3 linked regions of the Cricetulus griseus genome follow. The protein of the gene in region 1 purifies or fractionates together with the protein of each later gene. This does not show direct contact. Links are inferred from orthologs where the notes say so. Each region holds a gene or a part of one and is shown in the gene's direction. Other genes may lie near its edges.

Region 1 (10,038 bases):
TTGGTGAATATTTAAAATGTGCTATAGTAAAATTATCCGGGATTTTAAAAGTTAACAAATTATATTTTGCTGATAAAGTGAATTGATACTACCAGGTGCACACTTTTGATCCCAGCACTCGGGAGACAGAGACAGGCAAAATCTCTGAGTTCCAGGCCAGCCTGGTTTACACAGTGAGTTCCAGGACAGCCGTTATTAAATAGAGAAATCCTCTCTCTTAAAAAAAAAAAAAGTTATGGGCTGGAGAGATGGCTCAGAGGTTAAGAGCACTGACTGCTCTTCCAGAGGTCCTGAGTTCAATTCCCAGCAACCACATGGTGGCTCACAACCATCTGTTATGAGATCTGGTGCCCTCTTCTGGTGTGCAGATATACATGAAGCAGAATGTTGTATACATATTAAATAAATAAAATCTTAAAAAAACATTATTATACAATATTACAATGTGACTCCTATTGAACTTTCTCCCTTTTTACTATAAAATAAGTAAGGTTTGATTATGTAAATAAAATTTTAAAAATTAAAAGTACCTTATACTTACAAAATCCTTGGAATCCTGAGTTCTCAGAAGTCTGACCTCATTTTTGTACATAAACAACCTTCCCCAACTTCCATATAATTTTATTAAAAGGGAATTTTATTTTATTTATTTATTTTTTGGATTTTTTGTCTTAATTTTTTATTTAAATTCTTTGATTATTACTCATATTTACATATCCATCCCCCCCATTCCCTCGCCCTCCCATCCTCCCATGTTCCCCCCACCCCCACTCCTCCCCAGGGATAGTGAGGCCCTCCACCAAGGACCTTCAAAGTCTGTCATATTGTTTGGGGGGACTCCTTGCTGTATCTGGGCTGCAATAGTATCCCTCCATAGGGGAATTTTAGTTACTATTATATTATTACCCAATTTCATCTGTAATGTAATTTTTCCACTTACTTCACAAAATTGAAGTTTGCTCCAATACACTGGATAACTGGGCATATCAAATTGTTACCCATAAATAAAAGAGTAGCTTAGATATTAAGACCAATCTCTCCTAAATTAGAACTAACCCTTTTCTCTCTAAATTTATTTATTTATTGGGTTTTTTGAGGCAGGTTTTCTCTGTGTAGCCCTGGCTGCCCTGGACTCTCAATAGACCAGCCTGGCCTTGAACTCACAAAGATCCACCTGCCTCTGCCTCCAAGTGCTGGGATCAAAGGCGTACGCCACCACTGCCTGGCAAACTAATCACTCTTTATGAGGTTATATTTATAAAATAAAATTGACTTTAAAAATCCACTAAAATTAAAAGGTAATACTTTAAAATTTTCTAAACATCCAATGAAATATTTCATAGAGTAAAAAGCAACATAGACTCAAGGGAAACATGACCAACTGGTTTAAAATTACAGGGTTTGGTTGGTTTGAATAAAAAGACCTGATTTCCTCTGTCTCTCTGTTGTATTTACATATTTGGGTCACATTGCATTTTGTTTAGTTTGTTTGAGACAGGGTTGCTCTGAGTAGCCCTAGCTGTCCTGGAACTCACTCCATAGACCAGGCTGGCCTCAAACTCACAAAGATAACCTGCCTCTGCCTCCCAAGTGCTGAGACTAAAGGTGTGTGCTACCACTGCCCAGCTTATACTGCGTTCTTAATTATTGTTTTAAAAAATATTTGTTTTTCATTTTATATATTAGTGTTTTGCCTGCATGTATGTAAGTGCACCATGTTTGTCAGTTCCAGAAGTGGGTCCTGGAACCCTAGAATTGGAGTACAAACAGTTATGATACTCCATGTGGGTCCTGGGAACTATACCTGGGTCCTCTGTAAAACCAGTAAGTGCTCCTAACCACTGAGCTACGGCTCCGGTCCCATTCTGGATTATTTCAATTGTAGGTGGAATATCCCTATTGTGTTTTACATATGTCAGATGTGGAGGTGGGAGGGGAAAATTAGATTTGGATAATTATAATTAATAGATGTAACTTGATTTTATCCAGGTGGGTTTTGTTATTGTTGTTTCCTTAATGTCTTTACTAGCTACTTGTCTCTCCTGAACCCTGCCTTTCTTGCCTATTCATCCTCACCCTTATGAGATTCTAGAGACAAACCTTCCTCACAGTGTGCAACATATTAGGCTTCCACAACACAAAGGTGTGATGCTTGGCCAACAGGGGGAGCTGTGAACCGAAGCCCCGCCCCCCCCAATCTGCATCTTCGTTTTGATTAAATCTTTCTAGGATACACAAGCAGACCATTAACTCCCACCAATCCAAAAGCTAAGAATTAGCCTTTAGAGGACGTGTAAGACCATTAGCAGATGCATTCTTGCCTTCTATCACCAACGTCCTGGATGTTTCCACCAATGTGTGTATACGTGTTCTTTGTACAGGTGTAAGCATACATGTCTGGAGGCTAGAGGTTGATGTCTGTCATGGAACCTTGAGCGCACCATTTCAGTTAAGACTAGCTGGCCATCCTGCTACAGAGATCCCGCCTTTTCTGCCTGCCTAGCATTAGTATTACAGGCATACATATACATGTATGGCTTAAAAACAAACAAACAAAAAAGGTGCTTTAGTTTCTTGATGATTGACTAACCTGTAAGTTGGTATAAATCATTTTCTCCCCAAGTTGTGTGCAGACAGGGTGTTTATCGCAGTAACAGAAATCAAACGACAACATGTGTCAAGCTTTTTGTCATCTACCATTACCCCCCAGCCCCCTTCACTGTTTTGTTCTCTTGGTATAAAATTGTCATTAAACTGTTAACAAGTTGGAATTTATGGTAACTTAAATTTATGTTTCTAAGCCGTCGCCACTCATATTTGGCTCCACAATAAACTCTTATTGTCTTCGAGGTGATAACTGGGTTGTTTTTTGTTTTTGTTTTTTGTCAACAGACTTAAATGAAAACTAGGGTTCAATCTTCAGTGCAGTGAAAATAGCTTTACCTGACTGGAAGTATAATGGTACGCTTGCCTAGCAAGTACAAACCCCGAGAACTTCATGAAATATACAGTCAGGTGAAGGAAGACAAGCCATGAATACAATTACGTAGTTTATTTGTAGTATTAAAACCTGGAGGCTTGGGGGGGGAAGCAGCCATAATGCCGTTTAAATCCTGAAGTTCAGAAGTGACTCCAATACAAAATAACCCCCTCGCTAAACAGTGTCTTTTGCTAAGCTTATATGGGTTAATTTAGATTGCAGAGATAACGCTTTGGGGGAAAAATAATCTCCATGCAACCGAAATTCGTTGCGTGATGGACTACCAATACCATCATGCATCGCTCTGAATTCGCGGCGTCGAGGAAGAGGCGGCTACAGCAGGCACCCGGGCATTCTGAGCCTTGTAGTTTCTGGCCGGGCTACCGACTGGGTTGGTCCACGTGGTGGTGAGTCTGTCAGCAGCTCCGCACTGCCGCCGAGCGAGGCCCTTTCGCGTACCGGCGTCAGAAGGGGTGGCTGCCACCTCCTGAGCCACTCGCAGATGGGGCGGAGTCAGCGCGAGGCTTCGCGACCTTTTTTACGACAGCGTCTGCCGGGTTCCGTGCCCGCCCGCCCTCCTTCCCTCCCTCCCTCCCTCCCTCCCTTCTCCTCCTCCTCCTCCTCCTCCTCCTCCTCCTCCTCTCGGAGAAGCTACCGGCTGTTGTGTGGCGTCGCTGGTCTGTCGGGGCTGATGGCACCCTGAGTGTGCGTGAGCGCGTGTGGGAGAAGGTGAGGCTCGGACGCGCGTGGGCGAGGAGCAGAGCCAGCCGTGGCCGCCCCGCGCCCGCAGCAGCACGCGCGGCCAACCGCGCGCGAGAGCCGGCGCCCCGGGAGCGCGGGACAAGGGCGGACGCTGCTCCCCGCCCCCAGCGCGTCCCTCGGCTGTCTCGCGCCCGCGGGGACCGCCCGGCGCTCCCCTGGATGTCCCCGGCGCCCGCGCGGGGCCTCCTGCCGTCGCCGCGTGAGGCGGGCTGGTGCTGCGGCCGGCGGGTGTAGCTCGGGGGCTGCGGCTGCCGCGCGGCCCGGTCTCCACCGCGGCCCTCGGCCCCCCACCCCAGCACCCCGGCCTCGGAGGCTGTGACAATGGACTATGACTTTAAAGTGAAGCTGAGCAGCGAACGGGAGCGGGTCGAGGACCTGTTTGAATACGAGGGCTGCAAAGTTGGTCGAGGCACTTACGGGCACGTCTACAAGGCGAAGAGGAAAGATGGGTGAGTGTGGGTGTCGCTGCGGGAGTCCCCGAGGCTGAGAGGCAGGTGGCCAGCCAGGGTGCCACTACTTCTGCCTCTGTCCCGGTCAGCCTGCTTTGGGGAGGAAGTGGTGTCCCAGGAATCCAAATACACAAGAAACCCTGCGTGCAAGAGGGAGAAGGACCGTCTGTCTCATGGGCAGTGTTCCTTTTTTTTTTTTTTTTTGTGGATTTCAGTACAGTGTTTTTGTTTTTGTTGTTGTTTTTTTAATCGTTATAAAATGCCAGTTCGAATGTGTTTTTCTTTGGTCGATTTATCACGGTAACCTTTTGGGGACTAACTCACCCGCCTCTGGAGTGATGTCTATCAGTCTGGAAGAGAAGCCGAGATCTTTTTCTCTTATCAATTGTGAACAGTTGACCAAATTTGGATTTGATGGGGGAAAGAAGACAGCGAGTGAGTGTGGGACTGGAGAGTTCCATGGAGGATCATCTGTAATGTAAAGTAGCAGTTGCTATTCAGGTATCATTAGCTGTGAGGTTTTATATAGAACAATGGGGATTTGGTGCAGAGTGGATGGGGGGGGGAAGCAAGTGACAGATAATCGGGGCTATGTTGTGCAAGCTCTTTAACCAGAATTTATCAGCTGCCAGTGAACTTTAAATAATCTTTCCTGCTTCAAAAATTCTCCCCTAGAAACAAGAAATAAACCTATGACTGGTAATGCTCTTAATTTTGCTTCTTAACAGTAAATAGAAGCTCTCATTTTTTCCTTTGTCAGTAGATGACTGCATTGTAGTATTAACAAAAGGGAAAGTAATTGTTAGTTGGGGAGAAAATCTTTATTAATTTCCCGTTTTCTCTTGTACAAATAGGTATTATTTCTGTTGCCTTTGACACTAGGAAATTATTGGAAAGATTGTCATAGCTTATTATATAATCTTTGGGGTTTATTGGAAACAGCTTTCCTTGAGCATCCCTTGTTTGACTAGTTGCTATTTTACTATTTAGAAGACTTTTTTTTTTTTCATATTCACAGGCGTGCATATTCAGAACTGCTTTAGCACTACAAAGTGAAACCTTAAAGTTGCGGGGAGTTCTTTCCAAGGGAGCTTGTTTATAAATACTTTAGTAGTCTGGATAATGGAAAAGGAAGTGTCAGTTTATTAAACACTTCTCCTTATTAAGCCTTCTTATAATGTATTTCAGTGCTTTTGTGCAAAAATGAAACCACGAAGATATGGGCAGAAGGTAGTGGTGGAAAACTTGGTGTTCTGGGTGCTGTGTGGCTTTAAATGGATAGCAGTGAGTGGCATCCAGAGCCCTTGCTGCTGATTCTTGTCTGACTAGATTTGTTTTGTCAACATTTTATTAATGAATTATATTTAAAGAAATCATCTGAATTTGCAGCAAAGTTTTCTACAGAGGGTTAAAGCATCTTCCATCCCTCAGTATCACATAGTTTGAAACATGGTCATAACATCTCCACTCCCAAGACATTTGATATGGTGTAGTACATTGTCCAATCTGTTGTGTTTTTAAGAATGCTAGTGATTTTTGTGGCCCTGTGAAAGGAGCCAATTCTGGCTTCATACATTGCCAAGTTAGGCTAATAAAATATCCAGATGTGTTTGATTGTGGGTTTTTTAAGTATATGATGTATATGCAGGGGTTACTTTATCTTTTACATCTTGATGGTAAGTTTTCATCTAGGATGTTAAGATTAATTTCAGAAGAAATTACATATCTTAAAAATAGCTGATGTTAAGCACTCAGGAGACAGAGGCACTCAGATCTCTATGAGAGATCTATGTCCTGGTCGCTAGTTCCAGGACAGCCTCCAAAGCCACAGAGAAATCCTGTCTCAAAAACAACAACAACAAAAAATAGCTGGTGTTAGTGTGTATTTCTTAATCACTTATGGTAATTGCAATTGAATATTTGCATTTGGTTTTTTTTTTAAGCTTTTATGTTTTGGGTTTGTTTTCCAGCAGCCTTGAATGATTCTGTTTATTGTGATGGACTTTGGTAATTTTTGTAGTGAATCAAATGCCATGGGAGTTTTAGAATTAAAACAGCTGTGATTGTAGACCACTGACCAGGCTAACCTTGAAATCAGAGATCCATTTGCCTCTGCTTCTTGTGGTGGCACTTGAGACACCATGGTACTTGGTCTCACAAAAGTATTCTTAATCTGAGCTGGGCCGTGGTGGTGCATGCCTTTAATCCCAGCACTCAGGAGGCAGAGGCAGGTGGATCTCTGAGTTGAGGCTGGCCTGGTCTACAAAGCTACACAGAGAAACCCTGTCTCGAGACACCCCCCCCCAAAAAAAAAAAAAACCAATCAATCCTATTATCCTCAGTTCATATATGAGGAAACTAAGCCGTTGAAAGTTAAGCAGATTTGTCCTGTGAGTAGCAATGTCAGTTAGGACCTGAGAATGTCCTTGCGGTGTATATACTCTGGAGCACATCCCATGTCTGCCCCCTCCCCCCCCAAAAAAAAAAGGATTTCTCTGTGTAACAGCTCTGGAACTTGGTTTGTAGACCAAGCTGGCTTGGAACTCACAGAGTTCCTGCCTGCCTGTGTCTCCTGAGTCCTGGGACTAAAGGCATGGGCTAAAATGGAGCCCATGCCCTTAACCACTTTATTTCATATAATTAGCTTGAAGACTCCGGACAGCATCCCTGTCTGCCACTGATACCTTAGATACAATTGAATCTGCTAGTTGATATGGCCCAAGATGACCTGGAACTCACTCTGTATGTAGCTCGGACTGGCCTTGAACTTAAGCAGTCCTCCTACTTCAGCCTCTTGTGCTTTTTAATTTTATTTTGTGTATATGAATGAGCACCACATATATGATTGATTGAAGTCATGGATGGTTGTGAATCATTATGTGTGTGCTGGGGGTCAAACCCAGGTCCTCTGCAAGAGCAACAAGTAACCTTAACCTCTGAATTTTTCTGCATCCTGAGAAATTGGGCAACTCCCAAAGATGCAAAAGCTACCCAACATTCGTTTTGTCACCTTGGTGTTGGGTTAGTTAGTACCTGCTCCCATGGTTGTCTGTTGTTGGGGAGTCAGCACAAGGGACTCTAGATTCAATGTTTATTGTAGTTTTGAGTCTTTGGATAGTTTGGATGTGCATTAATGAGTGTTCCTTACAACCTTTTAAAAAAAAGTGATGGGGCTGGGCAGTGGTGGCACATGCCTTTAATCCCAGCACTGGGAGGCAGAGACAAGCGGATCTCTGTGAGTTCGAGACCAGCCTGGTCTACAAGAGCTAGTTCCAGGACAGCCTCCAAAGCCACAGAGAAACCCTGTGGAGGGGGGGGAGTGATGGGAGCCAGGCAATGGTGGCATACACAGAAGCAGGCAGATCTCTGTGAGTTCCATGCTAGCCTGTTCTACAGAGCAAGTTCTTGGACAGCCTCCAAAGCTACACAGAGTTTCTATCTTGGAGAGGGGGTTAAAAAGAAAGAAAAAAAAGAGTGATGGGAAGGGACAAGAGTAATATTTATGGTGCATGTCTTACCCACATGGCATCGATTAGTACATTTTTAGCTCCTGTTTTGAGTCATTTTCCAGGTTTAATTCTTTTTTGTTTGTTTGTTTTGTTTTTTGTTTTTCGAGACAGGACAGCTGTGTAGCTTTGGAGCCTATCCTGGCACTCGCTCTGGAGACCAGGCTGGCCTCGAACTCACAGAGATCTGCCTGCCTCTGCCTCCCGAGTGCTGGGATTAAAGTCGTTCGCCATCACTGCCCGGCTTGTTTGCAAGGTTTAACAAGTTAAGAAGTCATTTGGGGGGTTGGTCGATAGTAGTGCACACCTTTAATTCCAGCACTGGAGAGGCAGAGGCAGGAGAATCTCTGTGAGTTTGAGGTCAGCCTACTCTTCAGAGTGAGTTCCAGGACAGACTCCAAAGCTACACAGAGAAACCTTGTCTCGGAAACCCCCCCCCGCCCCCCAAAAAAGAAGTCATTTGGAAGTTTTCATGTGAACTATTACTTTGAGACTTCTAAGATTTGAAAAACTCATTCACTTAGCTATTGGGCCACTCTGAATCATTGGAAAGGCGAAGAATTGAAACGTTGCATTATTTGAGGAATTATCTCCTGGGAAAACAAACTTGTCAAAAATTATAGCAATTTTAATAAGTACTATAATAATGTTAATTGTAATTTGGAGAAGGAAGCTCTGAATTACTTTGGGGTTTTATGGAGAAAGCAATGTTTGGTTGGCTCTTGGAAGATGAGAAAAGTTGGGTCATTCTGAGAGGAATAGCAAAAGTGTGCTTTTGATTTTAATTTTGTTTTTTGGTTTTTTTTTCCTGCAAAGCCCTGTGGGTGTGTAGGCTTTTCTTTGCCATGCCTTTCTGACTTAGTTTCTTTTGTGCCTTGCAGTGTGTGTTGTGTGTGGCTGTGATAAGGTCTCTGGTTATTTTTGTCAGTGGAGCTGTATTTATCTTCATGTACCAAACAGCTTATTTGTGTGTTTGTAGCAGCTTTCCATCAGAGCACTGTTGGCCATGCAGTCCAGGTGGCCTCTCGGATGCAGGAGCTGCCACACACAGCTTTGCCAGTAGCTCTGGCTAGCTGGCCTCACAAAGAGCTGGAGCTAGGGTTCTGAGGAAGCAGTGGTGACTGTAGATTGAGGTGGGTGAGATTCGTTCTCTAGTCAAAGGTTTGGGAAACAGTGGAATTTCTCTGGTTGGCACTCTGATGTGTGGAGAGACCAGAGATAGGGACTGGATTTCTCCTATACCAGATTTCAGCTAGGAAATTAGAAATAATTTTTAAAAATGATAAATTATTATAGTTGTGATAAATTATTTGTAGTTGTGAATTCTGATTTACAAACATTTGAAGTGAGGCATTATTTGTTAGTGGGAATGATATATGCCAAATTGGTGACATTTTATTCTCTGTGATTGGTGATACCTTTCTTTGCAGTGCCTTTTTAACCAATTCTAGTTGCTCTACTTTTTTCTGTCCTTAGCTCCTGCTAGAAATAAATATACTTACTATTGTCCTTTCCTTCATATTAGTTGAGGTAGATGTTGGCCATCACTCATTACTTAGACGTTACTATAAGATACTCTTTGTCACCGTAAGAAATGTCTGTGTCTAATTGATGGCATTCGCTTATTGTTGTAATTTGTTTTTATTGTTCTTTTTAAGTTATGTGTATGCATGTAGTTTAGTATGTAAACATGAGTGCTGGTAGGTGGTTGTCATCCACCATATGTTGCTGGGCATGAACCTGAGCTTTTTACAGGAGCACTACTTGCTCTTAGCTGCTGAACCTTCTCATTTCTCTAGCCCCCTCACCTGCTATTTTGACCTTAATACTTGAAGACTTTTTGGTGCCAATGATTTTTCAGTATGATTCAAAGCAGTTATCAAAAGGTTCAAACTGGAGTGCTTGCTATGCAAGCCTGACCTAAGGTCCATCTCCAAAATCAGTAGACCATCAGGGAAGGAAATAACTGACTCCTTCAGGTTGTCCTTTCACCTCCACATGAGGCATGAATGCACGCACACATGCACACGTGCACACACACAAATTAAAAAATTTAAGGTCTCCAAATAAGCCCCTGCTGACATAAGCTGCCTTGATGTAATCTATAAAATTCAACCTTCTCACTGTTTTCTCAGGCTGTGTATCTGTTAACACTGTCCCATTCCAGAACATTTCATCCAGTAAAGAAGCTAAGTGCCCGTTACTAGTTATTTCACATCTTCTCTTGCAGCTCCTTTTGCCTTTCTTGGGATTAAGTTATACTGCATTGTGTGAATATGCCACATTCATCAGTTGGACCACTTTGGGGCTGTTACAGATGGTGTTAATATAAATGTTCATG
Region 2 (9,938 bases), on another chromosome or scaffold:
AGAGGCACCCATGAGGTAATGAGATAATGAACCTCAGGTGTGCCTTCTGGCCTTATATGCCGACAGCACCCCTGTTACCTTGGCAAACCTTTCTAACATGTACTGAACTTTCTGAAAGAAATGTGGCAATACCAACTCCACAGAATGACACAATACAAGGATTCTCTATATGCCCAAGGAAAGCAGAGTTAGGACATCAAGCAGCTGCGTGGTAGGCAGACTGTTTTCCAGAAAAGGCTAGACTTAACAAAGAAGATTGTGCTTTGGCTTGAGCATCTGCAGATTAAGAGAATGTTGGCTTTTAAGAGAGGCAGTCTTTTGAGCTGGGAGGAGAAGAGAATCGAAGTGAAAAGATGAAGGGCTAAGTGATAAACAGTTCTAAGCCAGTTTTGTTATGAAGACAAAATGGTGAGGTCATAAGCAGAAGGGAATTAGGTCTGGTGTAATGTTCCTTTTGAAGGGCCATAGTGTAGGAGGTTGATAGAAGGAATCAATTGGTAAGAGGACTTCAGGCCAGGTGAACAGGTTGAAAGGTCTAAGGGTTGATGCTGTCTGTAACCCAAATACCAAGATAGAAACCAATTTAGCTTTTCTGTATGTGCCACGATCGCTCGTATCTGAGTAACCAAGCATACTGTTGATGCAGAGGGAGGAGAAGCAGCTTGAGGCATCCTTAGATGCACTGCTGAATCAAGTGGCCGATCTGAAGAATTCACTGGGGAGTTTCATTTACAAGTTGGAAAACGAGTATGACCGGCTGACTTGGTAAGGATTGCCAGGGCAAGCCGGGGAGGGAATCCATGGGTGGTGGGGCCAAGCCCCCGGGCTGACAGGACATCTCCAATGATGTAACTATTTATCAGTTTGCAAATATCCTTTTTGATTTGGCAAGAACTAGGTTGCCCAACATTGACAAGTATAGTTTGGCTTAAAGCCTCCATGGCAAGGAAGTAGAGAAATGCCCAGTTTCCCAACGTAGGCTGTTTCGAGGTTTTAATTCTTACGCTTTGACTTCTTTGGTGAGGAGGTGTTCCCCCAGTGGGGAACCATTAAAGCTATATTCATGCTGGATCTCCTTCCACAGATGTGGCTGAATCTGAGATCCACCCTACTCTGGAATGATGGATTCTGTTAACTAGGCTAGAAAGGAGGCTTTTATCCACTTAAAGAATTTTTAGTTACCACAGTGTAACCACAGTTTCTGTTTTCCACTACCTCCAATCCCATTCAAACAATGAGTTACGACTGGCAGTGGTGGCACACACCTTTAATTCCAGCACTCAGGAGGCAAAGGCAGGTGGATTTCTGTGATTTTGAGGCCATTCTGGTCTACAGAGTGAGTTCCAGGACATCCAGGGCTACACAGAGAAACCCTGCCCCCTCACCCCCCCAAAAGGAAAAGAGTTGCTTTTTTTCTACGTCTGTGTGTCCGTGTTGGAAATTGACAGTGTGCTCCTCTTTCCCAACTCCATCATCTCTGCTAGAAAATCTGGTTCTTGCCTAGGCTAGTCATAGGGCTGTGAGTCTTCTGGGGGTGAGTCTGGGTGTTCCAGCATTAGAACTTTAGAGATTACTTTATAGGGAAAAGTAGTTCTGATGACTTCCTACCACCCGCAGGCCCTCTGTCCTGGATAGCTTTGCATTGCTCTCTGGACAGTTGAACACTCTGAACAAGGTCTTAAAGCATGAGAAGACACCACTGTTCCGTAACCAGGTCATCATCCCTTTGGTGCTGTCCCCAGATCGAGATGAAGACCTCATGGTAAGAAGAAAGGATTGAACCAGGGAAATCAGGTCCTTAAATGAAAGTCTGGAGCACAGTTGTTGATTGGACCCTCTGTATAGCAATGAAAAGTAGGGGCTGCTATCTGGAAGACTTGCTTTTTTGTCCTTCTGGAGTCAGGAGTCACTCTTAAATAATGTTGTGAAAGCCAAGGCCATGTCAACTAAGTCCATGACCTTTCTTTTCCAAAAAAAAGTCTGTTCTGCTTGCCTGTAACTTTGTCCAATCAGTCTTTAAAATGTGGGGTTAGGAATTTAGCTCAGTGGTAGAAAAAAGTCCTGGTTTGGTCCCCAGAATGGGGGTGGGGAATCACGAAAGACCAAAACAAAATAGAAACAACAACAAAAAGAAAATTACAGTGCGGTTGTGGAGGGTGGAATTTATTTTGTCCTAGTTCTGATAGAGTGTATGTGAAAAGACAAAGCCACAGAAAGCTACATTTGTGTCTCAGGTTGTGTTGTCTCTAAAAATGCAGTTTCCCACGGAAGAGAAACTGGGTTAGAATCGGCTTACTTGGATAGCACAATAGGATCAATACAATCTGTGTTACAGCGTCAGACTGAAGGACGAGTGCCTGTTTTCAGCCATGAGGTCGTCCCTGACCATTTGAGAACCAAGCCTGACCCTGAAGTTGAAGAGCAGGAGAAGCAGCTGACAACAGATGCTGCCAGAATTGGTGCTGATGCAGCTCAGGTTGGACTGAGTCACTGCCCTGCTGCCCCATCCCCATCCCTTCATAAGAAGCAAGACTTTACCAAGCCTGGGTAGTAGGAGTCTGTGGTTGGTTACAGCTAGGCTGCCTTTGGAAGAGCACAAGGAAGATGCTTTCCCAGAGTCATTTCTAATCACTACATCAATTCCTGTGTGTTGCAGAAGCAGATCCAGAGCTTGAATAAAATGTGCTCAAACCTTTTGGAGAAAATTAGCAAAGAGGAACGAGAATCAGAGAGTGGAGGTAAGGAGGCTGGTTGGCAGAACAGAGTGAGAACTGTATACGACCACTATGATAGGAATGATAGTCTGTGTAATAGTGAAGTGAGGACATAAGAATGAACTGCTGGGCTGGCAAGATGGCTCAGTAGGCAAATGCACCAGTTGCCAGCTTGACCTAAGTTTAATGCCTGGGATCTGTATGGTAGAGGCAAGAACCAGCAAATTGTCCCCTGACCACCACACACAAAATAAGTAAATCCAATTTTAAAACAGAAGAATGAACTGGCAAGGAAAGGGTCTGTACCCTGTTAGTGTTTTGTGTTTAAGACTAGCCTTAAAGCAAATGAAAGAAATGGACAAAGTGAAAATTAAAGATAGGTTTGGGGATTTTGAGCTCTTTGATGGGCTGGAGGGATTGATTCCAGGTGTTTCTGCAGTCACAACTGTAAGCCCTGGTGGTCATCATTGGCCTCACAGCTGCTGGGTTTGGTTGAGAGTGGAACACACACTTCAGGGTTCTTGTTTTTTTTTTTTTTTTTAAGGTCTCCGGCCAAACAAGCAGACTTTCAACCCTGCAGACACCAATGCCTTAGTGGCAGCTGTTGCCTTTGGGAAGGGGCTGTCTAATTGGAGACCTTCAGGTAGCAGTGGTCCTGGCCAACCCGGCCAGCCAGGAGCTGGTACAATCCTTGCAGGAGCCTCAGGATTACAGCAAGTTCAGATGGCAGGTGCTCCGAACCAGCAGCAGACAATGCTCAGTGGAGTCCAGATGGCTCAAGCAGGTCAACCAGGTAGGGTGATGTGGGCTAACTGTGCAGCAGTGTGGGAATGAGCTAGATTAAGCCTCCTTCAACTCCAGCCTTGGAGATTTTCCTCCTTCCATTGCCACTCAGAAGACAGTTAGAAGCTCTGCAACGGGTACCAGAGAGTGAAGAAGGACCTTTACTTCCATCTCAGATTTTTGTCTCAACTGTCCTGTTTATTCTGGATGTTAGTATGTTTCTCTTAGATAGAGAAATAAGTGACCAGACCTTAATCAAGAATCAACACCTGGCAGTTTCCTGGGATTTTTTTCCTTGCATCCTGTCCCTTGGTCTTGACTTCCTAGCATTGCTCACACACATTTTTACTTACTGTGAGAGCAGTCTGGAGGGCTGCGCAGGAGCAGCTGCAAAGGTGTCTCTGCAGGCTGTCTAGAGAAAAGGACAACTAAAATAACAGAGAACACAGTACTCTTTACCTGTGACACTAAACAGGGGCCACATAGGCCACATGCCTGTCTTTTCCAGAAGTAGATGAGCAGAAGCCCATGGGAGGAGGGGAGAAGGGACTCTTCAGACCCCTTCTGTCTTCTTTCAGATCACCCCTTTCCTTCTAGATATCTTCAGTGAGGGACCTGGCTGAAGAGCCACAGCCTATAATCTCTGCCATCCAGAATCAGAGGCTGCAGAGATTCTGAGATATAGGAGTTGACAGGAATCTGAGAGGCTGCATTTCTGATTTATTGTGAAAGTTTACCTTGTTTCAGATGCCTTTCTTTGTGTTAATTTTAGGGAAAATGCCAAGTGGAATAAAAACGAACATCAAGTCAGCTTCAATGCATCCCTATCAGCGGTGAATGTGGACAGCAGCCTCCACTCTCAGGTGATCTGTGCTGAGTTGAGGAATGAAATTATCTTTTGCTCAGACTTACCTAGATGGGTACAATAAAAAGAACACAGGCTTTCAGCAAGAGACAAATCTCAGCTCCACTGTGAATAGCTATGCGACCTGGGGAAAGTGACCTAATTTTTCTGAGCCTGTGTTCTCATTTGTAAATGGTGATAATACCTACCTCATAGGGTTGTTGTGAGGATTAAAATGAGAAAATGAATGTAAAACACTTAGCATGGTATATGAATTACTGGGCCTTGAATAAATGATAGTTTCTTACTTTTCCACCCTGCTATTCTCTGTCCTGCAAACAGAACTTGCTGTGATTTACACAGCTCCATGACATTGGCGAGCTAATGGATGCAGGATCAAGTAATCCAGGAACCAGGGTAGCCTGCATGTTTTGGAGGTGTATTATTTCTGTAGGCTCTCCTGCCTAGGTTCCATCCTGCTGGCTCCATCCAGGCTGCATGCAAAGAGGTTTCTGGGCTGGGACACTGTCCACCTACAGATCTGATGAAACCAGTTCAGTTTTTATCTGGGAAATGGATAAAAGTGCCCATCTTTTACCCTGCTCTGCTTATGAAGATGTCTAGGGACCAATAGGTGGGAGATTTCCTAGGAGATGGCCCTGTCAGGCAATAACACACATAAAATACCGTCTTCCGCCTTTGAAAGGAATTGGGCTTAACACTGTCATTTATCAGGGTTTGTTTGTCCTCACAGTAACAACTACTCCCTGTTTCTGTCCTCTTCCATTTCACTAAACATGTGGCTCAGATAAGATCCAGATTGAAAGTGGGAAGGGCAACAGCCCCATTCACCTTGCCTGCTTTTGTAGAGTTGAACTGAACAGGCAGCCATGTTGCCTTCCTCAGCGTTCTTTTGTGGGCAAGGGCAAAGATTGAGTCAGCAGAAGTGGACCAAAAGGTTTCTTCGTTCAATAAAGTTATTTAAATTAATGTTCACTGGCTCAGGGTTGTCTGACTGAAATTTATGAATGATCTACCAGGCAATTCTAATTTGTTCTCCTTAAAGTATTCCCTTATTTTTAATTTTTCTTGTATTTAAAAACACAAAGACTTCCTTCCAGCTGCACTATTTGTGTTCTGTTCTGTCACACACTAGCGCTCTGGTCTTTGGTCTTTGTTAAACAGCATTCTACCAGGCTGTGGCAGCAAAGGCCTGGAAAAGTGGTCCTCTGTTGCTGGTCTGTGGAGACATAGGTGGTGTTGACAAAGCTAATTGACCACAACACACTACACCAGGAGAATCCTGTTAACTGCTCTGAGCAATGCCAAATCTTTTCCCCACTTAAGTTGGCTGGCCCATTAGCCCGTCCAGGTGTTGTTTATTTTCTCATCTTTTCCCTTCCCACTAAACATCAAAGCTAACTGGGGTATTGAATAGAATTTAGCTGGACATTTCCAGACTCTCAGAGTATCTTTTGGTTACTGCTAGCCTTTACTCCACCTGTAACCAACCCTGGGCGTCTTCATTGTACCAGCTGAACTGACTTCATTCCCACCATACTATTGAAACGACTGTCTTGTCCTCCAAGAACAGCAATATCTTCCTGCTGCAGGAGGAACATTCAGGTCTCACCTACATCTCTTAAGCAAACACTTTGGTGGTAGAGGCACCCACACTTCTGTTATTTGCTGTCATTTCCACCACCTCCTCTCCTCAAAGCTCCAGACATCTCAGCATACAGACCTGCTGATCTCCCACTTTGGGGCTCATATGCCAGTTCCCCCACAATGGAAAGTATGGAACCCCTACTACTTGGTCTCTCAGGAGTGTATATGGAGTTGCCCATGAAAAAGGCAAAACTATTTACTTGCTCAGACTTGGGTTTTGTAGATGACTTGCACTACTCTAGCATTCCTATTTCTGACCATTGTCTTCTGCTTGGGGAATGTACTTTCTGCTGCATTTGGGGCCCTTGGACAAGGGGATCAGATGGACAAAGGTCTGCTCCATTGTCTCCCAGGTTTGTTCTGGGATGGAGAAAGCAGCAGCAGGCGTGAAACGTCAAGTCTTCCCACAGCAGTTCATCCCACTGAAGGTGGAAGCTTATGGAATCAATGTTAAGCCCAAGGAGGTTGCCTAAGACCTCTCTCTCTAGTTCTGCCCTGAGGCTGGGATTCAGCCATTGCTGATTGCCCTGGTCACCTGTTCTTTCTCTTCTTCCAGTGTGAATTGCTGTCCTATTTAACTGCTTCACCATGCTCAACTATGCTAAGATAGCTAAGCTAGGTAGGTTGTAGGCAAATGTTCCTTGTAGCTCTGTAGAGAGCCAACACTAGCTAGGTACAGGCTAGAGAGGATGTGGTTGTCCACCTCTGACCCTGCTGCTGAAAGGAAGAAGCTGAACTCAGCAGGAATGCCCCGATGTGAGGCCGAGCTCTTTTCCACCCCCCTCCAAACCTCCCCCAAGCAGCTGGAAACAACCTCTCCCTTTGTCTGAGTTTCTTGTACAGAATAATCCTCCTTATGGACAATGTATTCTCTGTGTCCTGTGGACACAGGAGCCGTGTGTGCTGATCCCAGCACTAGGCAGGACGGAGGCTGAAGTCTTCCAAACGCCCACCCTGCTCAGCTCCTGATTGATGTCCAGTGGAACTACTAAGGGTTGGACATTTTTCCTGTGTGCTCCAGATTGGAGCTGCAGCAGAGCCTTTTGTGGCTTGTCACTGGCCAGTAGAATGACCAAGAATTGTGCCCTGAGTGTTAAGCACCAACTTGTAGAGAAAGGTTTGATGTGAATCTTTCCTCAAAGTCTGGAATGTGCAGAGGCTAGCATTTAGAAACTGATAGGACCCCAGGTGACTTGCCTGGCAGGCCATGGTGCTCCATCGTGCCACTTGGACAGCGACATGTACTCTATCCCACAGGACAAATTTCTTTAACAGTATGTCTCTCTTGTTCCTGTCTCCCAGGTGTCACTGAGGCAGACCCTGGGTTCCTCTAATGTCTCTTGTTATGACTCTCATACACTCAGAATGTGAGCCACTACTTGGACACTTACACTTCCTGAGTATGGCATAGACCAAGGCTGTTGAGTTCCTTGGGCCTCCCTTACCTCACCTGAATGATCCCAGTGATCTTTCTAGTCTGGCAGTCTGATGTTGACTCCCAAGGCCACCTGTATGGGCTTTGTCTTTTTTTTTTTTTTTTTTTCCTTGCTGCATAGCTTTGTTACTTGAATAGGGCCAATTTCCTAAATTCCTCAAACCTCTAACAGCTCTTCCTAACATTCTCTGTCATGAGCCTTCTAGAGTAGCAGTTCCCAACCTTCTTAATACAGTGACCCTTTAATACAGTCCCTCATGTTGTGGTGACTCCAACCATCAAAATATTTTTGTTGCTACTTTGTAACTGTAATTTTGCTAGTGTTAAGAATCATGTAAATACTGTTTTCTAATGATCTTAAGTGATCCCTGTGGAAGACTTGTTTGACTCTCAAAGGGGTCTTGACCCGCCAGGGGTTGAGAACTGCTGCTCTAGACTATGCCCCGGCACTGTTTCCTAGCTTCTGTGCCTTTCTCATGAAGATGAATCAAAGAGGTGTGAGGTAGCCGATTGTTAGCACATGCCTTTAATCCTAGGCAGGTGGCTCTCTATGACTTGAGTCCAGCCTGGTCTACATAGTAAGTTCTAGGATAGCCAGAGCTACATAGTGAGACCCTGGCTTGGAACAGACAATCAAACAAAAAGGAGGTGGTGAAGTAGCTGTGGATTTGAAGTTACCTCCCACTCTCAAACATCTGTCTCCTTTGAACAAGATAAATGTATGGAAAGATTTTTCCGGTCCAGAAAATTATACTTTGTGTAACTCTGAAATCCCTGCCTATGTGGCCCATAGTTACTACAGCTTCTGGATGTCTAAACCCAGTCATCCTTCCCTTCATACCTGTTCTCTGGTTTTCCTGGAAATAATCTAAGCCAGGAATATGGGAGCATCCTAACTATTTTTCTTATATGTTCCCAGCTACCTCCCCTGTATCACTGCCAAGCTCTGTTAGTGTGTCTCCCCAACACCTAACCCATCTGCACTAAGTTGCACTTTTGGCCACCCTCAGTGAAAATATTATTCAGACAGTATCCCTACATCTACATCTGGAAACTCCAGCTTCTCTTCCCAAAGCTGCCAGATCTTTCTAGACTGCAGATCTGATCCTATTACTCCCTTGCTCAAAATCTTTTTGACAGTTCACTTCTTATATTTCTCAAAGTGGGAGTCACTAGCGAGTTGGTAGGGACAGTGTTCCAGGCATAAAAGCCATAGGATAAAATCAACCTGGGATTTTCATTTTACTTGAGGGTGATTGAAAATGAAATGCAAATCCAGTACACGTGTGTGTGTGTGTGTGTGTGTGTGTGTGTGTGTGTGTGTGTGTGTGTGTGTGTGATAGAGAGAGTAGAGAGAGAGAGAGAGACAGACAGACAGACAGACAAAAAACACTAGAAATTGAGCCCAGTGCCTCACGCATAATAGGCAAGTGTTCTGTGATGATTTACATTTACAGCCCTCTTTTTGGAGACAGGGTTTCTCTGTGTAGCTTTGGAGCCTATACTGGCACTTGCTTTGTAGACCAGGCTGGCCTCGAACTCACAGAGATCTGCCTGCCTCTGCCTCCAGAGTGCTGGTATTAAAGGTGTGTGCTGCTGCCGCCGCTGCTACCACTACCACTCAGCTCTCAGCCCTCTTTTTAGATTAAGTAGGTAGCAATTCAACAAGATAAGCCAGAAGACAGGCAACTAGGTCAAAGACTTACTTGCCTTTCCATAAAATATGAGCCCCTTTTAAATAGTTCTTTCAGGCCTCCATTTTTTCCTACTACTTTGCTTTATCATCCTGTCTGATAAAAAGTCAACCATATTTCTTTTGGAGGAGGGGGTTAAACAGGTTCTCATCTAATCTAGGCTGGTTTAGAACTCTTAGCAGTCCTGCATCAGCCCTCTAATCACCATGCCAGACTCCCAATCAAATATATATGTATTTATATATTTGAAACAAGCTTCTTTTATATGTCAATCTCAGTTTCCTCTCTCTCCCCTCCTCCCCTGCCCCCACATCCTAACCCCTATCTGCTCCCCAGGAAGGGTGAGGCCTTCCATGGGAGATCTTCAAAGTCTGTCATATTTGGAGCAGGGCCTAGACCTTCCCCTGTGTATCTAGGCTGAGAGAGTATCCCTCTATGTGGAGTGGGCTCCCAAAGTCCATTCGTGTACTAGGGATAAATACTGATCCACTACCAGAGGCCCCATGGATTGCCCAGACCTCCAAATTGACATCCTCGTTCAGGGGGCCTGGAACAGTCCTATGCTGGTTTCCCGGACATCAGTCTGGGGTCCGTGAGCAACCCCTTGTTCAGGTCAGCTGTTTCTGTGGGTTTCTCCAGCCTGGTCTTGACCCCTTTGCTCATCACTCCTCCCTCTCTGCAACTGGATTCCAGGGGTTGTGTTCAGGGTTTAGCTGTGGGTGTCTGCTTCGGCTTCCATCAGCTACTGAATGAAGGCTTTAGGATAGCATATAGTCATCAATATCATTATCGGAGAAGGG
Region 3 (9,938 bases), on another chromosome or scaffold:
TGGTTAAAGTGTCATTTTAATTTTGATATAAATGAAAATATGTTTCAGATGGGGGAGGTAACACAGGGTCTTGTGTATTGTAAGGTGACCTTGAATTCATTTTTGTAGCCAAGGCAAGATTTAAATTCCTGATCCTCCTGCCAGTGCTTCCTAAATGCTGACCTTGCAAGTGTGTGCTACTTACCCAGTAAAAATACAATTACTGACGTGTTGTTTGTCTCGGAGGGTTTTCATCTAGTCTATAAGCTCTTTCTTGTCGCATGTGTAAAAGGTCAGCTACTTCTGATTGTAAAATTTAGCATCAAACAGGGAGGTTTTTTTATGTCAAAGAAAGGTAATGTATAATCTTTGTGTCCTTTCAGTTTAATAATTCTACAATTGGATCTAACTGCATAAATGTGAACTGTGCTTTCTTGCTGCTTTCAGTGTGGAGAGCACTGCGCTGAGGCTCATCACAGCTCTAGGGAGCTCGGAGGTCCAACCGCAGTTCACACGTTTCCTCAGTGATCCCAAAACGGTGCTGTCAGCAGAATCTGAAGAACTGAACCGAGCCTTGATCCTCACCTTAGCCAGAGCAACTCATGTCACAGGTAGAGACCATGATCCTGACCTTAGCCAGGGCAACCATGTCACAGGTAGAGACTGTGAGAGCCACATTAGCAGATGAAGTGTCTTGCTCCTCTCAGGCCACAGTGGCAGACTGTACTCAGGAGGTGCCCGTTCTGCCATCTCCATATGATCAGTTAATAATGGAAGCTCAGGGCACCACCATTCTAACTAAGGGTTTTGTTTCATAACTGCTTTCAAACTAATTTGAAATTCCCAAAGATTTTCTTTTTATAGATTTCTATCTATCCATAAAGTCTATTAGTCATTAAAATGGAGAAATTTTAAAAAATAATTCATTTAAAAATACTATAGCATGTGACGTTAGCATAAGTAACATTTATGGGAAAAAAAAGTATTTTCTGCAACAAAACTTTAATGGGAAGTGGTGCTTTTGTTTTGATGTTTCATTGCCCTTCCATACGTGGTGAAAGGAACATAGGTGTCTTCTCCAGTCTGCTTCTGGTAGCAGAAGTATTATCTATTTATGTTGACACTGCTTTGGTTAAAGTGAGAGGCCCTTGTTTTCAGGCACCAAAACCAGACCTCTACTTCCTCAGTTCCATTGTTTTGACCCAGTAAAGATCATATTAAAAGTAAAGAGGAATCAAAAGTCCTTTGTTGTCTCTTCACTAATTGTGCTCATGTTTTTTAATAAAAAATACCTAAGTCCCTCCTGGTTATTTTCAGGGTAAGCGAGTTTAGGTCCTGAGTTACCACAGGTAAATAACAATGACTGTAGTGCACTGAAACACCTCCGAGTACGTGGCTACTTTCTGCTTTCTTGGCATTTTGTATTTGTGGTCACAGAGATCTGACTCACATCTGTTTGTTTAGATTTTTTTACAGGCTCAGACTCAATACAGGGAACTTGGTGTAAAGATATCCTTCAGACCATCATGAATTTTACCCCTCATAACTGGGCTTCACACACCCTCAGCTGTTTCCCAGCCCCTCTGCAGGTAATCTGGTCTGAATTACATATTAAATACACACTGAATCTTCCAATCACAGTGGCTTCTAGGGAGTTAGTCTTTGTGACAGCTAAAGAAAATTGGCTTTCATTTCCTTGTTGAAAATACTTGCTGATGGGGAAAGTCCTTCTGTGTTTGTTTATCTTATTGGTTGTTGAATAAAGCACTGTTGGCCAATAGGGGAGTAAGATAGGTGGGACTAGGAGTCGAGGAGGATTCTGGGAAATGTAGTAAAAAGAAGTCTTGTGATCCAGGCAGGAAGTGACATAGCAGGCAGACTCAGAATATAGGCAGGCACAAGCAGGAAATCACTCTCTTCCTCCCCCTCTCTTCTCTGGAGCCACCATGTGAGCCCGACAAGAGAGGAAGCATGCCGCCAGTGTCCTCGATCAGATAATTCTTTATAAAATATATAGATTAATAATTATGGCTGATACTTAAGACAGAGATAGCAGATAAGAAATCCTAGTCATTGGCCAGCAGCATTGTACCTAATATATAAGTCTCTGTGTGTTACTTAGGACCTTAACGTGGCAGCGGGTGGAACTGGGGAAGCTGGTGAAAAGATTTATTGTTACAAAAATCTCTTGAGTTGCTTCTCATCCTACTGAAGACTACATGTGTTTCTGAAAACATAAATGTTATAGTTTCATTTTTAAAAATGAATAGTTTTAGAATCTCACAAGAGTTAACACATGACCTGAAAAATTCTTTTCCTATCACTAAAATGGAGACAAATGTACTTTAATGAATGTCATAAAATATGTAGATATTAAAATTGACGGTGTTTGGATTTTTTTATCCATACAACAAAATTATAGCTGTGACTTCATAATAAAGAGAAAGGCAAACCTTACATATCTTCTGCTTCTCAGAGAAAATTTATGACATGGTAGACAATGGTGTTTCCATGACTTCTAGTGAAACTACAGCAGTGGTTCTCACATATTAGATTGCTCTGCAAAGCTTTCCAAGCTACAAATTTGTGGGTCCCAGCCTTAGAGCTTCTGGTTGACCGGATCTGGGCTAAGGCTTGAGGACTGGCTGGGACTGCTGGTCTGGGGACCATGATCAGAAGCCCTGGGTTATTGTAATCCATTTTCCTTATGGAGATAATAAAATGCGTAACCCGAGCAGTACACATTTCTTTTTCTTCCTTGTCTCCCTCCTCTCAAAGATTAGCAAAATATGATTGAAGAGACTTTGAATTCAAGCTTGCTTGGAATTTCTGTTGAGGAAGTACAGAAAAAGAAACTTGAGTTGCCAGTAGGCCAGCCTGTACATTTCCTAGTGTAGACATTCAGGCCTTCGTTACTGACTTACTCAAGGGAATTTAGTTTTGTAATGCCAGAACTGAATGCAGAACAGATTTCTCACCTCCATGTGTCCACTGTTCCTTTTACTATGTCCATTGGCATAAACTTTTGCTCTTCCTTTTAGGCATTCTTCAAACAAAATAATGTACCCCAGGAAAGTCGCTTTAACCTGAAAAAAAATGTGGAGGAGGAATACAGGAAGTGGAAGTCGATGACGGATGAGAATGAGATTATTACTCAGTTCTCTGTGCAAGGCTTTCCGCCCCTCTTCCTCTGTCTGCTCTGGAAGATGCTCCTGGAGACAGATCACATAAGCCAGATCGGCTACCGGTAAGCTGAGGCCTGGCTGCTGTCTGCTTCACAAAAGTGTTATCCATATACGAGGAGAGGTTAATTCTCACGCTTTGTCTTCTAGAGTATTGGAGAGAATTGGGGCCAGGGCCCTGGTAGCCCATGTGAGAACATTTGCAGATTTCTTGGTGTATGAGTTCTCTACATCAGCAGGAGGTCAGCAGCTTAATAAGTGCATTGAAATTCTTAATGACATGGTATGGAAGTATAACATTGTTACATTGGACAGATTAATTCTCTGCCTGGTAAGAATAAATAAATTTCTAAGCCTTCTTATCATCCTTTGATCAATCTGTATGAATGGGAGACCACATGCTGATTTCCTCTATTTGGCTTTAAAGACTTTAATGGATTCATGCTGCACTCAGGCTTCCTTAAAGAAAAAGAAATTTCTGAATTCTTCACTCAGTATATATTCAATATTTAGTATTACATTCACAAAGGTACAAAAGTGAATAAAACATATTTTTTTTTTCTGGCGTTGTGATGCTGTGATTCTCAGAGGCTTTCACTGGGGTTAGGAAGTAGTAAAAAGCCATTGCATTTCCTTGTAGCATGCTAGCTAATGTAACCATTCACTTCAGTAGTCAGAATTCAGACTGTTTCCCATTTATACCCAGCATGCTCCAAATGCTCCTTTGCCTCTGCCTATTGGTGTATCTCAAACAAAAGTTGTTTTTTTACCGGGCTTTGGTGGTGCACGCCTTTAATCCCAGCACTCGGTAGGCAGGCAGATCTCTGTGATTTCAAGGCCAGCCTGGTCTCCAGAGCAGGTGCCAGGATAGGCTCCAAAGCTACACAGAGAAACCCTGTCTCGAAAAAAAAGTTTTTTTTTTTTTTTCTTTTAAGTTTATTTTTATTTTTTATGTGTATTAGTGTTTTGCCTGCGTTTGGCTTAGACACCCCATGTTTGCAATGCTCATGGAGGCCAGAAGAGGGTGTCAGATCCCCTGGAGCTTGAGCTACAGGAAGTTCTAAGGAGCCATGCAGCTGCTGGGGATTGAACCCACATCCTCTGGACGAGTAGCCAGTGCTCCTAACCTCTGAGCCATCTCTCCAGCCCTTCAAGGAAAATTTTAAGAAAAGACTGAATTAGAGAATTAGACTGAAAAATTATATGTACACTTTTAAAAAATACAGTAGTGGCTGGGTACATTGGCACATGCTTATGATACCAGCAGATGCAGGGAGATTGTCACAAGTTCAAGGCCAGCCAGGGCATGGTGGTAATATATGCAGTGGCTTAGTTCATTGACATTGACCTCTTTCTGTGGAGCATAAACATACAGAGAGTTGTAATGTAGTAGGGGGCTAAGGTAAGTTGTAATGAAGGGAAAACACTGTCACACAACAAAGGGCATCACACATTACCCTCAATGACACACTGTCAAGGGAAGGTTTACTATAAGTTTACTGAATGTTTAATCTAAACATCCCTAGCCACAGGCATAGTGAACCATAAACAGGCCAGAAAGGGTCAAGTCATCTTTAGGATTGCTGGGAAATTGGTTTGGGGTAGACTAGACATTGAGGAAAATTGTAATACTATTGAGATTTGCTGTCTTAAAATTTAGCCTACTGGGTGGCAGGATCATACTTTTGAACAAATAGGACAATCTCAGTTAATTTTTCTGTTCATTCCCAAAGGCCATGCGTAGTCATGAAGGAAATGAAGCCCAGGTTTGTTATTTCATAATTCAGTTGCTGCTGCTCAAACCAAATGACTTCAGAAATCGAGTAAGTGATTTTGTGAAGGAGAATTCCCCAGAGCACTGGCTCCAGAATGACTGGCATACGAAGCATATGAACTACCACAAGGTACTGGCTCTAACGGGTTCTGCCTTGCTCTGCAAAGCAGCTTGGGGGTTGGGGGTTGGGGGGCACTCGATTAGTTGTAAAGTTATGCTAATGAATAGGATTAAATTGTAACTGCACTTTTAACACACATGGTTGCATATAAAGTGAAGAAAGCTGTAATAAAATTAATACAGTGTGTCTCTGGGGAAAGCTAGGGTGTCACCGATTTGCATATGCTTAGCACATGCCAGTTCCCAGCACCAAAAAAAATCAAAGATTGCTATTTTTTTAAAAAAATTAATATTTATAGTCCAGTGGTGGTGACACATGCCTTTAATTCTAGCATTTGGGAGTCAAGAGGCAGGAGGATCTCTGAGTTCGAGGCCCGCCTGGTCTATAGAGCAAGATCCAGGACAGGCTCCAAAGCTACACAGAGAAACCTTGTCTTCAAAAACAAAACAAAAAGATTAATATTTTCATTTTTTCTGTAACTCTTTAAGCATGCTTTTCTAAGATACTCTAAATGTCTGTCCCCTCACCCACAGAAGTATCCAGAGAAGCTGTATTTCGAAGGCCTGGCAGAACAGGTCGACCCTCCGGTGCCAATCCAGTCCCCCTATCTGCCCATCTATTTTGGAAATGTGTGTCTCCGGTTCCTTCCAGTATTTGATATAGTAATCCACAGATTCTTAGAGTTGCTTCCAGTGTCCAAATCACTGGAGACCCTTCTGGATCACCTAGGGGGCTTATATAAATTCCACGGTGAGTTTGTTCATGTTTTCATTCCATCTAATATCCTTTATGAGCAGACAGGCTGGGCTCTGCCATGTGGTAACAGTGGTTCTGCAGGTTTTAAAGTGCTGGAAGATAAGTGCAGTGAAATGATGTCAAAGATATGGTAAGACACACAGAGCAGGGCGATTTGACTATCAATAAAATGTGTCTTGGCAGGCCTCTGAATTACAACTTGAACTTTTGATGTAAATGATTTGTATGAGCAAGAGGGGTGAAAGAATATATGAGTCATTTTTTGGGGAAGACCCTGGTGATAGAAAAAAGGGCATATTTGAAGGAAAATTGCTTCATTAGACGGAATTAAGAATGTTTACCGAGGAGTTTCAAAGGAGACTGGAAAAGGAAAATATACTTGACTGCATGATCACATTAAATGCCAGTTTGGGTTTTAGAGCCTGAAGATGGTGGTCGGGTGGGGTCACTGAGTGGGACGTGAGCATGTGAGCAGTGTTTTAGAATACTGCCCTTTCAAAGCTTCCTCACAGCACTGGTGTAGAGTAGCCTCTCAGAAGCCGTGGGCTGTGACTAAAAACATGAGCCAGGAACACGACTCCCTGTGTGGCTGGTGCCTGCTTAGGAGACCACTGAAACCGTGGCCTTACGACTGGACACTGGAGCACGATGCAGGCCGTGAGAGACATGAAAGGCTCAGGGTAACCACAGCAGAGAAAAGCTGTCCCGGGGCAATTGTTAGTCCTTGATCTACAGTCTATGCAGAATAAGTGTCGGGTTCAAGGAAGAATGCCCTTAAAAACAGTGCTCTTTGGGTGTGGGAATGCGGTGTGTAATGGGTATGCATGTCTCCAGAGCTGGCTGTAACTCTGAGCAAGCACTGTTACAGTTGCTGAGGTCCCCTTCCTTAGATGCTGTTCTGGTTTCTTGCTGTTTGTCTCTGTAATAAAACCCTGTTCTGTACCAGGTTCTTTCTCCTGTTGCCTGTATTAAGGTTGACTCTTAATGTCAGTGCGTAAAGACCTGCCTCTCACTGTGACCATTTCCCAGTCCTATGTTTTTTGGCTGCTTTAACAGTTGCTAACCTTTTGCAAGTGGGAACAGGGCCGTAGCTGACGTCAATTTTTGCACAATAAATTTACTGAGGTGAAATTGTTCACTCAGAATAACTACCATCCTTAAATACTGCGTATATTAGTAGGACTTTTCTGGCTGACTGGGATTAAAGAACTCATCAAATGTAGTTGTTCAGCCCGTGAAGTAGTGTCACAATCTTCTTAGTTGTTTTCATGTAGTCTTGAAAACAACCAGTTCACTTTTAAACTTGTCAATAACCTGATAAACACGATGACCTGTTTTCTTCTTGGCAGACCGACCAGTGACTTATCTGTATAATACTTTGCACTATTATGAAATGTGCCTGAGAAACCGTGACCATCTCAAACGAAAACTTGTCCATGCAATCATCGGCTCCCTCAAAGATAACCGGCCACAGGGCTGGTGTCTCAGTGATACTTACCTGAAGCATGCTATGAATGCACGGGAGGACAATCCTTGGGTTCCAGAGGACTCCTACTATTGCAAGCTGATTGGCCGACTGGTAGACAATATCCTTTCTTCTGTCATGTTTCTTCACTCATTAGAAATAGTAGTACTTTAGCTTGTGAACTGTTTTTAAGGTAATGTTTTATGTATATCAAAACCTCATTTTTAGTTTCTTTTTTTTTTTTTGAACAGAGCCTCTGTGTTGCTCAGGCTGACCTTAAACTCCTTGCCTCAAGAATTACAACTGCAAGTGCACACCACTGCACTCCCCTTCAGTTCTTCGGGTGGGTGGGTGGATGGGTGGTGGGTGTGTGTGTGTGTGTGTGTGTGTGTGTGTGTGTGTGTGTGTGTGTGTGTGTGTGTGTGTGTGTGTGTGTGTTCTGAGACAGTCCAGCTATGTAGTTACAGCTGGCTTGGAACTTGCTGTGTGGACCAGGCTGGCCTTGGACACACAGATCTGCCTCCTAAGTGCTGGGATTAAAAGTGGCCTTAATGATTGTCATCTCCTTTTGAAATCTTAAATTGCATCATTATACCAGATAGGTGGGAATTTTCTCTGTTGCTATTCATACTTAAGAACAGACTTTAAAGACATTTGTTTCACAGTAGGAACTCTTACTTCAATTTCGTATACTATGTCTTACAGTGCAAGTATGTAGATGGAGTTTTTCTGTGTCATGGCAACCGCTCCCAAATAACCACACAGAGACTTATTGATTATTAATGCTTGGCTGATAGCTTCGGCTTGTCTCCAGCCAGCTCTTGAACTTAAATTAGCCCATTTCTGTTCATCTGTGTGCTGTCCCCAGGCTCGTTTACCTCATCTGTGAGCTCCCCATGTTGCTTCTTCCATATCTGGCTAGTGACTCCCCAGACTCTGCCCTTCTTCCCAGCATTCCTCTGCCCCCAAAATGCCTAGCTATTGGCATGTCAGTTCTTTATTAACCAATGAGAATAATACATATTCAGTTACACAAAAAGGTTATTTCACAGCACAGGTGTCCATTTGCTCCTGGAGAGCATTAGTCTTGTTACTTTAAAAGAATCCTTTAGAACCAGCTGTAGTGGCACATACCCCTAATCCTGGCACTTGGGAGACAGAGGCAGGAAGACTTCTAAAAGTTCAAGGCTAGCCTGGGCTGCATAGCAAGACCCTACCTTAGTTAGAGAATTAAATAAATAGTAAATCCTTGAGTACTTTCAAAACATACTGCTGTTAATAGACAGTAGTTAAGCTTTGAACTAAATAGCTGTAGTGTTGATGTTTTTATTTCTTCAGTTTGATTTCATGTGTACAGTTATGAGCAAGTCTACATAACATGTCTGTATACCATACCAGTGTTGTTTTCCTAAACAGGGGAATATATTTCTTAAGGTAAAAGAATTACACATTTAAAAGTAATTTTTATGTGAAATAGTCCTATAGCTGTAAAAGAAATAGCCTGAAGAAGCCTGAGGACACCTGCTTGTATGTGATCCTGTCTCCTGCTTGTATAGTGCCTGTTTTAAGAGCCATCTGTAAGAGCAACCACTTGTGTTTTCTGGGTATTGCTCAGTGTGCTTCAGTCATGTCATACTTACCTTGTGTTTAGTTTGTACTGTTTATCCTGTTATGTATTAATTGCAGTAAGTTACTTCTTGACAGCCCATAATCAGATAAGTGGATAATCAAATGAGATGCCTTCATTTAAAACATTGTGAGATCTGTAAACATTATATAATTGTGTCGTTAACCTCAGAATATTCTAAATGTTTTTCCTTAATCATTTGCACCCATGGCTGGCAAGTCTCCTGGGCCCTTCCCAAACTGTGACTGGAGATTCAATGAGTTCCCCAACCCTGCTGCCCATGCCTTGCATGTCACTTGTGTGGAACTCATGGCCTTGGCAGTTCCAGGCAAAGATGTTGGGAATGCCCTTCTAAATGTCGTCCTGAAAAGGTCTGTGTCCTTTTTCATGTAGTAAGAGTTGGTTTATTTCTGAAGCTGTTACTGTCGGGCAAACCTGTGCCCCAAATTGAGCACTGTGCATAATACCCGTCTTTTGGTTCCCAGTCTCATCTCCATAGTGTAAGTGTAAGAGAATGAATGATGCTTGGATTTGGAAGAGCGAGGTTTGTTCACATTGATGCCTCTTATCACCTGCTTGTCACTAATTAACTTGTCACTAATAAGTCTCTACAGATCCCCAGGGACAGGGGATGTAGCTTGATTTTAGAGCACTTGTCTAGTAAGTGCTAGATGGTAGGTTAAGTCCCCAACCAAAACCCCAACCCGCACAAAAAGTTTTCTTAGAAGATCAGCAAAAAAAGTAGGAAATAACGATTGGGAGAAAGTAGAAATAAGTTCAAATAGTCTTTTCAGCCCCATAACTATTGTTAAAGGACACACACACACAGGACTTATTTTGTTTGTATTATAGTTTTTTTCAATTAAATGTCCATTGTTGTTTGGAGTTGATCAATTGTGAATCTTCTTAATCACTTTTGTTTTCAAAACAAGATCCTTGGTCAGTCATATAAAATGTTTTAATAATTTTACATTTTTTTCTGTCTTCTTGCAGTCAGCCCTTGGTGCCAAGAGAGAACATTACAGCATGGATGA

Evidence for each region.
Region 2: the proteins of Cdk8 (region 1) and Med8 purify together in Homo sapiens (affinity purification with mass spectrometry; 7 studies listed by BioGRID and IntAct, counting the BioPlex papers as one, with this or other methods). This does not show direct contact. The link is inferred for Cricetulus griseus from reciprocal best matches to the Homo sapiens genes CDK8 and MED8.
Region 3: the proteins of Cdk8 (region 1) and Med23 purify together in Homo sapiens (affinity purification with mass spectrometry; 10 studies listed by BioGRID and IntAct, counting the BioPlex papers as one, with this or other methods). This does not show direct contact. The link is inferred for Cricetulus griseus from reciprocal best matches to the Homo sapiens genes CDK8 and MED23.

What each region holds. Positions count from the first base shown.
Region 1 is NC_048597.1:82,145,155-82,155,192, forward strand, and holds the start of Cdk8 (cyclin-dependent kinase 8), read left to right. Parts: upstream 1-3,917; 5' UTR 3,918-4,063; coding exon 4,064-4,191; intron 4,192-10,038.
Region 2 is NC_048595.1:33,895,648-33,905,585, reverse strand, and holds part of Med8 (mediator of RNA polymerase II transcription subunit 8), read left to right. Parts: coding exon 1-15; intron 16-646; coding exon 647-765; intron 766-1,617; coding exon 1,618-1,762; intron 1,763-2,335; coding exon 2,336-2,476; intron 2,477-2,656; coding exon 2,657-2,738; intron 2,739-3,258; coding exon 3,259-3,507; intron 3,508-4,269; coding exon 4,270-4,334; 3' UTR 4,335-4,360; exon of another isoform or gene 4,361-5,331; intron 5,332-9,938. UniProt on the Homo sapiens protein: Component of the Mediator complex, a coactivator involved in the regulated transcription of nearly all RNA polymerase II-dependent genes.
Region 3 is NC_048595.1:244,072,970-244,082,907, forward strand, and holds part of Med23 (mediator of RNA polymerase II transcription subunit 23), read left to right. Parts: intron 1-426; coding exon 427-590; intron 591-1,443; coding exon 1,444-1,568; intron 1,569-3,020; coding exon 3,021-3,226; intron 3,227-3,311; coding exon 3,312-3,492; intron 3,493-4,894; coding exon 4,895-5,065; intron 5,066-5,589; coding exon 5,590-5,806; intron 5,807-7,161; coding exon 7,162-7,398; intron 7,399-9,109; coding exon 9,110-9,275; intron 9,276-9,897; coding exon 9,898-9,938. UniProt on the Homo sapiens protein: Required for transcriptional activation subsequent to the assembly of the pre-initiation complex. Component of the Mediator complex, a coactivator involved in the regulated transcription of nearly all RNA polymerase II-dependent genes.